Linked DNA regions of Drosophila melanogaster. The gene in region 1 interacts genetically with each later gene. Each region holds a gene or a part of one and is shown in the gene's direction. Other genes may lie near its edges.

Region 1 (6,759 bases):
TTGGGATATGTTTTATTATTTTTATATATATGTAGAAGAAAGTATAATTCGGTTAAGCACAAAATGGTGGCTCTCCTTTTCGGAAGCGTTTCCAAGCGGAAATCACTATAATCATTAGTGAATAATCACATTCAACCCCTGTAGTAAATTTCACCAGACAAAAAACTCTCCCTTTTTTTATGTAGTCCGTAATCACCGCAACAGAGTTAAATAATATTTACACACTTCATTTAGGAGACACGTGTAATAGGCTAAACAGAGTGTTTAGTGTGGCCAATAAGCAGGACACACGCGATGTCCCCTAATCAGCTTAGTCGCCGTAGCATAATGGAACGTTGGGGGCAGCGATGACGACAGGACACTGACAACAGGATCTGTAATGTCGGCACTGAATTGACAGGATAACGAACCGTGAATAGGCGCGAAACCTGCGTCGAACCTCAAAGAAGAAGGGAAGCCAAGGGGGAATCGAACTGGAAGTCAAGGCAGCTGCCACAAGTGCAGGACTTGCGACAATAGAGCTTGCTGCTGGGATGGTTTTTGGGGTCCGTTTAGATTTTCAGACCCGCCAGGGTCGGGGTCGGGGGTCATTCACTATTTGCAGCGAACAATGGGCCACAGGTAGCGATGGAACCCGCACCCGCACATAAACGCCGACAGATACGGCCAGGTGATCCAACTTTTTGATTTCTTCTGGCTAAAGGACATTGATACGCCGGCCCCGCCGAAGGATTCCGAGAAGCAATTCCTTTCGCTGGCTTTTCAAAACATTTACTCCACTGTATTTGGCCATTGTGCCGCGAACCTACCTATTGATTGTGCAATGCACCCGGTCCACATGCACACACATACAGCCCGTGGCAGTGATTTTCCCTGCTTCTCCGATCTTCGATTTATGGATCGCAGCTCCTTTGTTCCGTGCCAAAAAAAGGAGAGCCTGACCTGGGGGTAGTATAGTAATCAACAATTCATTGTCAACGACATCACACATCGTATATCTTGGGCCATAGTTTGTTTTCCTTGGTGGTATCCCTAATGTTCGTTCCTTTCTTTTTCTCTCTCCTCTTTATATCTTCGTTTTTGCAAAAGGTTCACCAGGCCAGGTGACCTGGATATACTGTTAGGCTGTGATGGCCTGTGAAGGAGTGGGGGTTTTGGTTAGAGAAACACAGTCTAGGAAGCTGAAAAAACAGTTACAGTTATCCTTGGGCGAAAATGTGATATGATTTTTCTGAGTGTTTTATGCGAATATTTAATAAGAAGAACAAAACGAAAAACATTTTTTACAAGCTCCGTAACATTAATTATGAATAAAATTACAAAGTTCAATGTGTTGTTCTTAAAATACATTTCGATCATCGTTCATAATGTCTCCTTTTTGCACTGGTTGTCGACCTAGTTCTGTTTTGTGACTCGGATTTACTATTTCGCATGGCTCCTCTTCGAACAATGTCAGTCGAGCTCTGTAGATCCCTGTGTTCCCTCTTCATTGTCAACTTGAACAAATGAGCCAGGGAACAAGGTGCAAAAATGGGACGGTCCTATTCTCAGCAAAAATTGACAAGAACAACAACAATGTCTATGGAAAATCGAACTTCATCCCAGCACCTGCAGAAATCCCGAGCGAGTCGGGGAAAAAGTATTTAACCCCCGAAAGGGTTTTCCCCAAAATAATGAAGTAATGAATGAAGCGGAAAACACTGGCCGCCAATCTACCTAATACTAATGAGCGGGCCAACCCGACCAGGAATTTTTGCAAGTCAGGTACTTCAACGGATATATGGGTTCGACAAGTGCGGATTTTCCCGCGACATCAATGAGGACTTGGCCGGGTTATCCGCGGTGCTCATCGGGCAATTCCGCGGCCGAGGACTTCATCGTAGTGATCATTAGGTAGATATGTGCATGGATGTGACATGGCGATCATTGCGCGGAATAACACACGTAATAACCGAGATATCCGGGATGACCCACCAGGTAGGATGTGAGGACATATAGAAAACCCCCAGCCAGTTTTTCCACTCGTCGTGGCTTGTTTTGCTTGAGTTTCGCTGACTGCGTAATTGGATAAGATGGGAAATTACTTTAAATCCTTCGCTGATCCACATCCGGACATTCGTCGAAGGAAAATCCATTGCAGGGAAATACGAAATGGAAATGCGGCTGGGTTATTGGCTCGACATTTCCCATCTTCCCTCACGCCATTGGTTGCAGGATCGCGGGGAATTGGAATTCCGCGCTGGAATTTTTTGTCACCTCTTGGGTTTATCAAAACTTTTGGGTTTGCTATGGATTTTTTCCAATTTTACCACCGCGCCTGGTTTTTTTTTTTTGACGACGCGGAAAATCGGACTTGGCTATGCGGGCTTGTCTGTTTTTCCGGGTACAAAGTCTGCATGTCAGCCTCCATGCGGGAGTGGGAGTTGGGAAAGTTTCCCATCGATAGTTGGAGGGGTGGCTTGAAAGTCTGGAGGTGCTAGCTGGGAAAGTTGTGTGTGCGCGATGAGGCAAGGAGTCAAAGATCAGGGGAGTTGGAAAGCGAGAATTGTGGGAATCGTCCAGGACTCAGCTGGATGCTGAGGGGCAGTATGATTTTTTTTACGTTATCAATCGAATTGATTTTAAGACAGCAGAACTTCACATACTAATAAGATGACCATGGGATTAGTTAAAATGTGTAACTCGTATTCGAATCGTCATTCTTTCACGGACCAATCGTGGGAACAGGAGATCTCTTCGATCCAAGCTCACAGGAGACTTGACACTCTTCGTCTATTCCTTGTCAAGTTTTTAATGACATCTCCTATGCCCTGAGCTATGTTTTCCTAGCTCTCATCGATCGCTGCCAATGAGCCACTGGAGATGATCCATAAGTCAGCGTAGAGTGCACCCCAGAGTTGACACTTGGTGTCTCGGAATTCGGCTCATTATCAGTGCTATTTTTGGAACACCTCTCTGCGAAGGTGTCATTTTTGTCAGTGCGTATCGCTCAGGTTCAACTCCCCACCAAAAACCGAATTTAGAGCATCGGCAGATGTACTTGAAGCACTCAATCTAAGTGAGGAAACCACCCCATGAACGAAGAGTACTAGGAGTCCTATTTGACTCGTGCTTAAAAATAGAAAATTACTTAGGGTGATCCATAGGTAGGGAGGCGATATTGTAACTTGCATTTCGGACCCGGACCTGCACGAGTTATTACGGGTGGGTTGTGAGCGTATCGGGAAATTGGAGAGCCACCAGATCTGTCATAACTTATACGGGGGATCCTTATTCCTGGGAGGGTGCGCCTGCGTCTGCTCTTCCGAGAGAGAGGTGGGAAATGGAGGAAGAGAGAGAGAGAGAGAGTGAGAGAGCAGGTAGAGGGAAGTGAGGGAAATACGCAATAAGGGTATGGGAAAAGTGCTGTTGTTGTTGCTAGGTAGCGACGCACACGTGCGAGTGTTTTTCTGTTTTGAAGAAGAACCACCACCAAATGGCGACAGCGGCGTCGGCAGAGGCGCAGAGTTCCGGGTATAAAAGAGCGTGCTCGACTGTTGACCTGTCACAGCCACCTCAGCTCTCGTTGAGAACGCAACCACCGCTCTATACTCGATCCCGAACTATATAACTCGCCTCTCGATCGCCGATCTCCCGATTTACCCATCTCGATCAGTACCGGAAACTAAAACTTAATCACACACACATCAAAAATGGCCGCCAACTACAAAAGCTGCCCGCTAAAGAAGCGCCCCATTGTCTTCGTGGAGGAGCGTCTGCCACAAACGGAGGCCTTGGCCCTGACCAAGGACTCACAGTTTGCCCAGGATCAGCCGCAGGATCTATCCCTGAAACGGGGTCGCGACGAGGAGACCCAGGATTATCAGCAGCCGGAACCGAAACGTGACTATGTGCTGAACCTTTCAAAAACACCGGAAAGGAACTCCAGCTCTAGCTCCAACTCCTGCCTGCTGTCGCCGCCAGTGGAGGCCCAGGATTACCTGCCCACCGAAATCCATATGCGTGGACTAACGGCAGGAACAACGGGATATACCACCGCCACCCCCACCACGATTAATCCCTTCCAGTCCGCCTTTGTGATGGCCGCCGGTTGCAATCCGATCTCTGCCCTGTGGAGCAGCTATCAGCCCCATCTGGCCGCCTTCCCCTCGCCAGCCAGCTCGATGGCCTCGCCCCAGTCGGTCTACAGCTACCAGCAGATGACGCCGCCCTCCAGCCCCGGATCCGATCTGGAAACCGGTTCCGAGCCAGAGGATCTTTCAGTGCGAAATGACATCCCACTGCCGGCTCTGTTCCACCTTTTCGATGAGGCCAAGTCCAGCAGCAGCGGTGCCAGTGTAAGCAGCTCATCGGGATACTCCTACACTCCGGCCATGAGTGCCTCGTCGGCGAGTGTTGCCGCCAATCATGCCAAAAACTACCGCTTCAAGTGCGACGAGTGCCAGAAGATGTACTCCACCTCGATGGGCCTGTCCAAGCACCGTCAGTTCCACTGCCCGGCAGCCGAGTGTAATCAGGAGAAGAAGACCCACTCCTGCGAGGAGTGTGGAAAGCTGTACACCACCATTGGAGCCCTGAAGATGCACATCCGCACCCACACTCTGCCCTGCAAGTGCCCCATTTGCGGCAAGGCCTTCTCTCGACCCTGGCTGCTCCAGGGACACATCCGCACCCACACTGGAGAGAAGCCTTTCCAGTGCCCCGACTGCCCACGATCCTTTGCCGACCGCTCGAACCTGCGAGCTCATCAGCAGACCCACGTGGACGTCAAGAAGTACGCCTGCCAGGTGTGCCACAAATCTTTCTCCAGGATGTCGCTCCTGAACAAGCACTCCAGCTCCAACTGCACCATCACTATTGCGTAGGATTCTCGACATATGAATCCCTTAGCAGGACACAATTACCTAAGCAAACTCACATTCCGCTGGCGAAGACCAAACAAACAGACAATACCTATTATAAGTTTGTACTAAGTCGATTCGGTTTTGGTGCTACTATTACTATATTTATTTCAGCTATAGTATTCTAAGTTTAAGTTCATGTATATTGCCTCATTGTCACACGCAGCATTTTACCAAATCTATTCATTTAATTATAATATACCCTTATTTATGTATTCTCAGTACTGTTAAGCCAACTGTTGTTAAGATTATTCCTAGCTTAAAGAGAAGAATTAAATATTTTTATAAAATAAAACTCACGAAAAGAAATTTATATGGTCTTTATTATTTTTAACAATTTTGAAAGAAATTCTCACAGAAGGAAACTGTATAGAAATATTCAATTTAAATTCTATCACTAATATTTGGGCTCAAATACAGACAGATGTGAATAAAAAAATTTAAAAATTTGTAACCAAAAGTTATAGAAAACATTTTAGGTAGTAACAGCATTCATCGAAACGCATTAAAAAAATGTAATCTTTCCTTCTACAGTTTCTATGTGCCTTCAAAATGTACAATAATTAACAGGAAACCAAACATCCGCATTTTGGGGTCTGCCCCTGTTCATATTTTGTGACAATTTCCGCCAACCCTCTCGAAAAACAGAAATCACAACAATAGCAATATCGAATTCTCGGAGAAAACACCTTTGGCATGTGCAAACAGGGAACCGATTTGTCATACACTTTCCTTTTCGGGGACTTCCTTCTAACCCGCCCCCATTAATAGCATTCCATCAATTTCAATCCATATCGCTCGGCGTTTTGCACCTTTTGCCAATGCAAATATTTAATTAGCTGACACCGACATCGCTTCACGTTTACATTTCTGCAATCCTTTTCCAGCATTTTGCCGAACTGATGGCGGCGCATGCGTCCTGAGTCCCTAAAGGATACCAAAGGACACCAGAGGACCGTGGAGTGCAGGTGATAAACGTAGCGACGGCTGCTTATCGAGTCCTTCCTGATTGACTGGCAGACGGTAGTTCAGGTCCTGATTGGATTGGATTACCACCGAAGCATGCTCTAAACCGAGAACCCGTCGAGGTTTATCTGACTATTTGATTAGACCCGCGCGGTGATAATACTTTAGTTTGAACAGGTATGAGGAATAAATCCAAGATATGGGTGGATATTTTAGCTTAGGCACGTATGGTTATCAAGGCAAGGTGAGTGGGTATTTGGATTCAATTTGTTAATAGCCATGTTCTAATAGATATTAGTTCAGAAATGTTCACTGATACAATTCAGTAGTTGTAAGATTTGCCAATAAACATTTAACGATTCTTTTATTATTTAAGGAAGTCCCGTAAATGTGTGACTCTAAAAACATAAATAATCGAATGCGGGTGTGTCGGAATGGGACAAGCATTAGCGACATTATGTTGCAGTTGCAACACCTTTTGGTCATAAATAAGGCTCACAAAAATCCATTCCCAGAAGGAACCAATGCAGACAATGACCAATCATTCCAGTTCTACGGTAATCAGAGCGCGTTTCTTGTGCAATTGCAAAAAACTGCAGCACAGATGCAACTGGTCACAATGCATCAGCTGTAAGGAAAACACCTTGCCGGGTGGACAATGGCTAGAACGCAGTACCTGTCGCCCGATTGTCTGCCCAAGATTCCTTCACCCAATGACCTACTGGGAGAGCTGGGCGACCGACTTCTGTGAAGTCTTCCGCCCTTTGTTTCTGCGGCATCCTTTTTTGCCATTGTCCTGCGGCTAATCACCGCTTAAAGGGAAGCCAAAAGAAATCACAGACCACAAAAGTCAGTCGATCTTTACGCTTCGCTGAATGCAAATCCCGCGCAG
Region 2 (6,759 bases), 990 kb from region 1:
GGAGATAATGTCAAATTTATTGCATTATTTTTCGCTCCTTTCGCCCGCCAGTTGCTCTGCATGCGTGCCACCCACTCTTGCCGCAGGCAAACCATCCACCACCCGCCGCCACCCACTGGTGTGCATAAATCAAAAGGTAAATGGCTGCATTTTTATGACTGCGCCGCCATCGTCGTCGTTCGCCTTTTGCGCTGCTTCGCTTTTATCACACAAACATTTCTGTGATAATAAATGCCATAAAAATGAAGAAATATGTGGTTAATTTTATGTGCTGCCTCTGCCATTCCGCCGCTTGTTGTTCTTGCTCTTGTTGTTGTAGTTGTTGTTGTGGCATCCAGTATACTTCCTTTTTATATTCCCCATATAAATGTTTTCGCGGCTACAAATTTTTCCCACTACATTTGGATATCTCTCGGCGCTTTCCTTTACAACTTTGGCGAAGATATCGAGAGTATTCGAATTCGAAACTCCTTATAGTTGCATAAAACGAGATTTTTAGTCTTAAAGGACTCTGATGCACTATATAACTAGAAGCTCAATATAGTTTTTTATTTCAGATCTTATTATTGTTAACCTAATAGAACTGCTGCATCTTTAACTGCGTACCTTGTAATTTAAATTACGCTTTTTTTTATATTTGTAATCTTCGCTACACGACCTCCTTTTGAATAAAATGAAGTTATCAACGCTGAAATGCTGCAGGGTGAGCATTAGTCTGAAAGCAAATCGCTTTAGTCACGGTATCAAGGTGTTCCGCACTTCCGCTTGGCAATTTCTTCGGCTTCGTGTAATTTATAATATTTTTGTATTATTTATATGACACCCCCGGCCACTGGTTTGAATTTACCTTCAGCCCACTCCCGCAATTTGCTAGTAAATAATTCACATACAGGAGCAGCGAATTTATGACGCTGACAAAGTGGCCATAAAAAATAACAAATAATAAGAGAAAATGCTATGGAACGTGTGCGTAAACTCTCCAACTCTGCAGCAGTATACATGCATATATACACGTATATACATTATTTTGGCAACACTTTTTTCGCTTTGTTGCACGCAAAACCGCAAATTATGTCTAAGCCGTATCGTAAAGTATCGCAGCACGCTCTTAACTAATAAATCCATCATTTCGCCGAAGGCCGAGAGTGTTTCCTCTACCTGTTTTAGCCTCGAAGGTATTTCGCTGCCGGGTTTCGGCTTAGGGATTCCCACAGAAAAATGTCTAAACACTCTAAATCGGGATTAAAAGTGTCGCTTCTGGGTTTTCGGCTTATCGTCCATATTTATACAGATTTTAATTTACTTGCCAGGGGCTTTGAAGGGTTCTTAAAACTCAGCTTGGTGATTAGGTAACATATCCCAAGGGCCAGATATTCCAAAATCCCCTCGGGGCTTGAGTTAAACATCTTGATACATAGTTTATGGTTAGTCCAACCGATTTGGTTGGGATTACGTTGGAGTTTTAATATCGGTTAGGTAAAGTGGCTAGAATGATCTAGATCAACAAAATCTAAATGATTAGTCACATAATATTTTCTAACTACTTAAATAATAGTAATCAATTATGTTTAGAAGGAGCTAGCCTATTATTAGCTCTTAATAATTTAATATAAATCAGCCTCGTTTTGCAATTAAACATTATTAGTATTCAGTAATTATCTTGAAACCAAGCAACGTGATTAACGCGATTTCGTGCGAAACGTAAATAAGTAAGTTAGGCAAGTGCTAACTGGAAAATTCAATCCAATTGTAGAGCGATTAAAAATGCAGCGGAGTTAACCAAACCATTAAACTATTACCAACTCTCTGAGTGCAACATGCCACAACACACATTCGCTTGTTTGATATGTGCAGATTAATTACACACACACCAAGGAAGGAGGAAAAATTGCTTGGAAAAACTTTTCGACGCGACAACAAAACAACGATTTCCACTTAAACAGCAAAACAGGAGCCACGAAAAAAAAGAGGGAAAACCAACCGCAGAAGTTAATCGAAAAACGCTAAACAAAGGCCACAACAACAGCTGTGCGAGTGAGCGGGTCAGAGGGAGAGAGGTGAAGTGCCAGAGCGGGAGAGCGACAAACAAATTAATTTTTATATGACATTAAAACGAGCGAAGCGAGGCGATGGAAATGGTTGAAGAGTGTGTTTAAGTGTTGAGTGGTTTGCTTTTCCGAGCAACAAATCTCGGTGCGAAGACAATGAGGCCTCTGCCGCGCCGCTGCCGCCACCACTGCAGCGCTGCTGCTGCTGACAGCCCCATCAAGAAAAAGTTCCCCCAGAGAGACACAGAGAGGGAGAGTGAGCGTGACATATGTGCCAAGATAAAATTAATGTGCCCCCCAAAGCAGCCACAACAACAACAACTCACTGAGCGGCGCTCTCAGCGCTCAACTGTTGCTCTCTGGACGAGTGTTGCCGTGGTGCAGCCATATTATTATGATTTTACAGGAAGCCAAATCGGAGAGCGAGAGAGAGAAAACCTGTCTTGGCTTCCATTGCAAGGCGCATGCGATTGTGATTGGACAAAAAGTACGCCATATTTGAAAATTACGCACAGTGCATCTCGCTCGCATGCAGCAGGCGGTGCTCCTCTAACGCAGGCAGCAAGCCAAAGTGTGCAGCGCTGCTCGCCGGAGAGCGCTCTCTCGCGAGTGAGCGAACGCTTCGCTGCGAGGGCAGTTACGCTCGCTGCCGCAGTCGTTGAATTCAATTCGAATTTTGACTTCGCAGCGTTCAGACGTGTTCGGAAAAACCTGAAAACCATTCGAGTGACAAGAGATATAACCAACAAAAATAAGAAACCTCAGTCAACTGTGGTCACTGATCGAGAGTGTTTCGTTTCGAGTGAAAAAGTGAAATCAGAGCCAAAACACAAATCGCTTGGCCAGCAAATTGAAATAGTGCTACAGAGATAAATTCTCTGCTCAAAACTACAAGTGTGTTAAATCGCCGATTTTCTTTGGATTTACCAACGTTTGCCGACGCATTTCTGTGGATTAACCTCATCGTCGCCGAAGCAAAGCTACGCATTTGTAGCCTTGTCTCGCAACTCACGTGGATTACCCTCGAGAAAACACACTAAGCAACTGATATGGTTGTCTTGGAAGGAGGCGGCGGCGTTGTTACCATCGGTAACAACCAGTACCTTCAACCGGATTATCTGGCCCCATTGCCAACGACGGTTAGTATTGACTAAGTTAAAAGCTGTAAAATTTTGGGATGGCCGTAAAATCTATGGTTTTAAATTTTGCGTACTTAAGAATTAAATTTGGAAAGTTCATAACATCAAACAATTTTTCAAATCTAAAAATTTATATCGTCATTAATACTTTCACGAACAAACTTTCTTTGGAAGAAATTGCATTTTCTCATAGTTTTAACTTCTCACCAAATTAAAATCAATATTATCTTAAAACTCGTAAAAAACTTTAAAATTACAAAAAACCTAATTCCAACTCCACATTTTCATTTTATTCATAACAGATGGACGCCAAAAAGAGTCCCTTGGCTCTGCTCGCACAGACTTGCTCCCAAATTGGAGCGGATTCGTCGGCAGTGAAACCCCTGCTGGCAATGGACAAGAACAAGACAAAGCCCGGAGCATGCTCCTCGTCGTCGAACTCGTCGAGTTCCTCGGGCAGTGCTGAGATCTCGGCAGCCAAGTCACCCTCCGGCCAGGCCAAATCGCCCAAGTCGAGCACTCCAATCAGCTCGACGGCAACCAGCGCAAGTCTGAGTAATACCAGCACCGGTGAAATCAAACTGGCCTTCAAGCCCTACGAGACCAATGTGCTGAGCCACCAGAACCAGAACTCCTTCAAGAGCAGCTCTTCGCTGGATGCGGAACCCACGCGTCCCAGCTCTAAGAACTCCTCATCCGCCCAGGAGCGTGTGCCATCGCGCAGCAAATCAAATGCCACGCCCACAGATGGCGGCAAGGCGGAGATTTCCGCGCACGATTCCTCATCCAGCCGAAAGACTGTCTCCCCGTCGGGATCGTCGCAACGCGGCGCCAGTCCCATTGTGCGCTCCGGCATGGAGGTGCTGAACAATGCCAACGGAACCGCCCAGCATCCCAAGGAAATGAGCAGCATGGCTGCGGCGGCAGCAGCAGCAGCAGCGGCTTACAAGGCCGCCGGACCCTATGGGCTGAATCCCCTGTCCGCCCTGTGCTGCCCGCCCGGAATGGAGCAGCACGCCAATCCCGCTTTCCGGCCACCGTTTGCCGGAGGATTCTCACACCATCACGCCGCCATGTTGGCAGTTGCCGCCAATGGAGGATATCCAGGCGGAGCTCCCGGCGGTGGACCAGCCGGACAGCCCAATCCGTACATAAGTTATCAGCGCATCAAGACACCAGCTGGCGGCGAGGCTATAGTGCCAGTCTGCAAGGATCCGTATTGCCAGGGATGTCCCTACTCGGCGCACACGCAACAAATGCTCATGGGTGCCCCCTGCCCCGCCGGATGCACCCAGTGCGAGCATCAGAAATACGGCCTGGCCATGGCCAGTGCCGCCGGACTGCCACCAGCTCATCCATACTCGCAGGCAGCGGCCGCTGCTGCGGCAAACGCGGCGGCAGCCCGTTCGGCACCCTACGTGTGCAGTTGGGTGGTGGGCGATGCCTACTGCGGCAAGCGATTCCAGACCTCCGACGAGCTCTTCTCCCACCTGCGCACCCATACGGGCAATCTCTCCGATCCGGCGGCTGCTGCGGCGGCCTTGGCCCAATCGCAGGCTCAATCCCTGCTGGGAACCCTATTTCCGCCATCGGCTCTCCGAGCTGGCTATCCAACACCACCACTGAGTCCCATGTCAGCGGCTGCGGCAGCGGCGAGGTATCATCCATACGCCAAGCCACCACCAGGCGCCTTGGCTGGAGGACCTTCGCCCTTCGGCGCCGCTGGAGCATTCAATCCTGCCGCGGCGGCTGCGGCAGCTGCTCTGGGACCCTACTACTCGCCATACGCCATGTACGGCCAGAGGATGGGAGCGGCTCATCAGTAAAGTGACTTCCACAAGAGTTAAATACCAAAAAAAAGGGGATTACGTTGAAGAGACAACCAGAGATATAGAATGAAACCATTTCCAAACCCTGTTTGAGATACTTTCATGGAAAACAAAAAAGATAAAAGCACAAAACGATTGCAAAGGCTGACACATCTCTGGCTTTTGCGCTATTCTGTGATACTAAACTGTAGTTTAAAGAGCGCTAGTTACACTTAAGTTTCGCAAACAGAAAATAATCAACCACCTAAAGAACAGTAGTAGCCGCAAAAATAGCAGGATCACTCTCTTCTATCATCGTAAATGTCTACATTGTTAGGTAAAAAGAAGTGCAGCCAACACGAAGTTCACTCACTCTTATTTGTTCTCAAAGTTCAACCAAAGTTTTTTAAGTCTTAGCCAGAACACATTCTACAACTTCCAATTTTGTTAATGAAGAACCCATTGCTGAGATGTTCAAACATTGTTTTAGTTTAACTTCGCTTTAAGTTCTATTAACTATTATTACGATTATCTGCAAGCATACAACAAACCAACAATTGAAATAATGTTCTTTAAGTCAACTTATATTTAAAGTAAGTGTAATGAATATTTGTAATACCAACCAATCAGAGATAAAAAATTAAAAAAAAATAATAATAATTACGAAAAATAAAAATGAATATTTCATATAATTATGTACTGTGTGTAAATTCTATAAATATAAACTAGATTTGCTATTTACTCCTTGATGTACGCAAACCACAATACGATCTACACAAGAAGCCACGGAATATCAAACAAAAATAACTTAAACTACATGCAACACATTCGTATAAAACTGAGAAATATACAAGAAAAAACAATTTTTAGAAGCATAAACCACGAATCTTTTCTTTTGAAACAAACTCTTTTACAGCTGGAAAACTTTTTGTTGGGCCATAATTTCGCTTCGGTTATCTGCGCTGTTTGGCTAGCTCACATATGGGTCATAAATATTGCTGATAATGCTCCACTAGGTTTTCAATTATATTTACATAAGGCTGAGTGGCAAATTCCGGAAACCATAACAAGGTCTAATTCTCTTAATTTTATAGTTCTTACTTAGAAATGGGACTAAAGGAGTTTTTAATTCTGAGAATTGAACTGCTTCTTATAAGTATCATTGATATTAAATGTAAGGTTCTAGGCAAATAAATAAATAAAATCTTATAGGTTATTCTTTAAAAATATTTTAATTAGTTTTATTTTAGACAAAAGGTATTTTAATGTGCTCTCAATTTTTTCTGGATGCACTCGAAGAAATCTGGGTTTCCCCATCTCACCTAACACATTTGAAATTCAAATTAGTACTATTAATTTGCATTGCTTGTTGCATTTTAAGCGCACTCAATTTGTATGCAGCGATTCGTATTCAGCCTAAAAAATCAAATCAAAAGCAAATTTCAATTTCACGAGGGGTGGGGTAAATAACTTGATTGGGCAAGCCTTAATAAAACAGTCGCCGGCAACAGTCATAAAACACCCAAGCTGAAAATTAAAAATCAATAAAAATCACATTTGTACCAACAATGTGTATAACAAAAATCAATTGCCATTCAATGAGCAACTCAAATGCATATATAAATGAATATGTGTGCATATGTACGTATGTATGTACATATAAAAAAATCGCTGACAAAGCGAAATGACTAACATTATTCACAAAAAATATGCTTCAGAAATATCAAAATCTGAAACCAACCAGACAACTCAAACTTAAGCAAC

What was found. Genes that interact genetically often act in the same process or in processes that back each other up.
Region 2: of sna (region 1) and noc, changing one enhances a phenotype caused by changing the other (phenotypic enhancement), as found in Drosophila melanogaster (2 studies listed by BioGRID).

Annotation. Positions count from the first base shown.
Region 1 is NT_033779.5:15,475,041-15,481,799, reverse strand, and holds sna (snail), read left to right. Parts: upstream 1-3,539; 5' UTR 3,540-3,692; coding exon 3,693-4,865; 3' UTR 4,866-5,207; downstream 5,208-6,759. UniProt on the Drosophila melanogaster protein: Essential for the correct specification of ventral-dorsal patterns.
Region 2 is NT_033779.5:14,488,149-14,494,907, forward strand, and holds noc (no ocelli), read left to right. Parts: upstream 1-2,710; 5' UTR 2,711-3,097; coding exon 3,098-3,187; intron 3,188-3,489; coding exon 3,490-5,013; 3' UTR 5,014-5,871; downstream 5,872-6,759. UniProt on the Drosophila melanogaster protein: May negatively regulate Notch-induced cell proliferation in the eye-head primordium. Required for development of the supraesophageal ganglion and ocelli.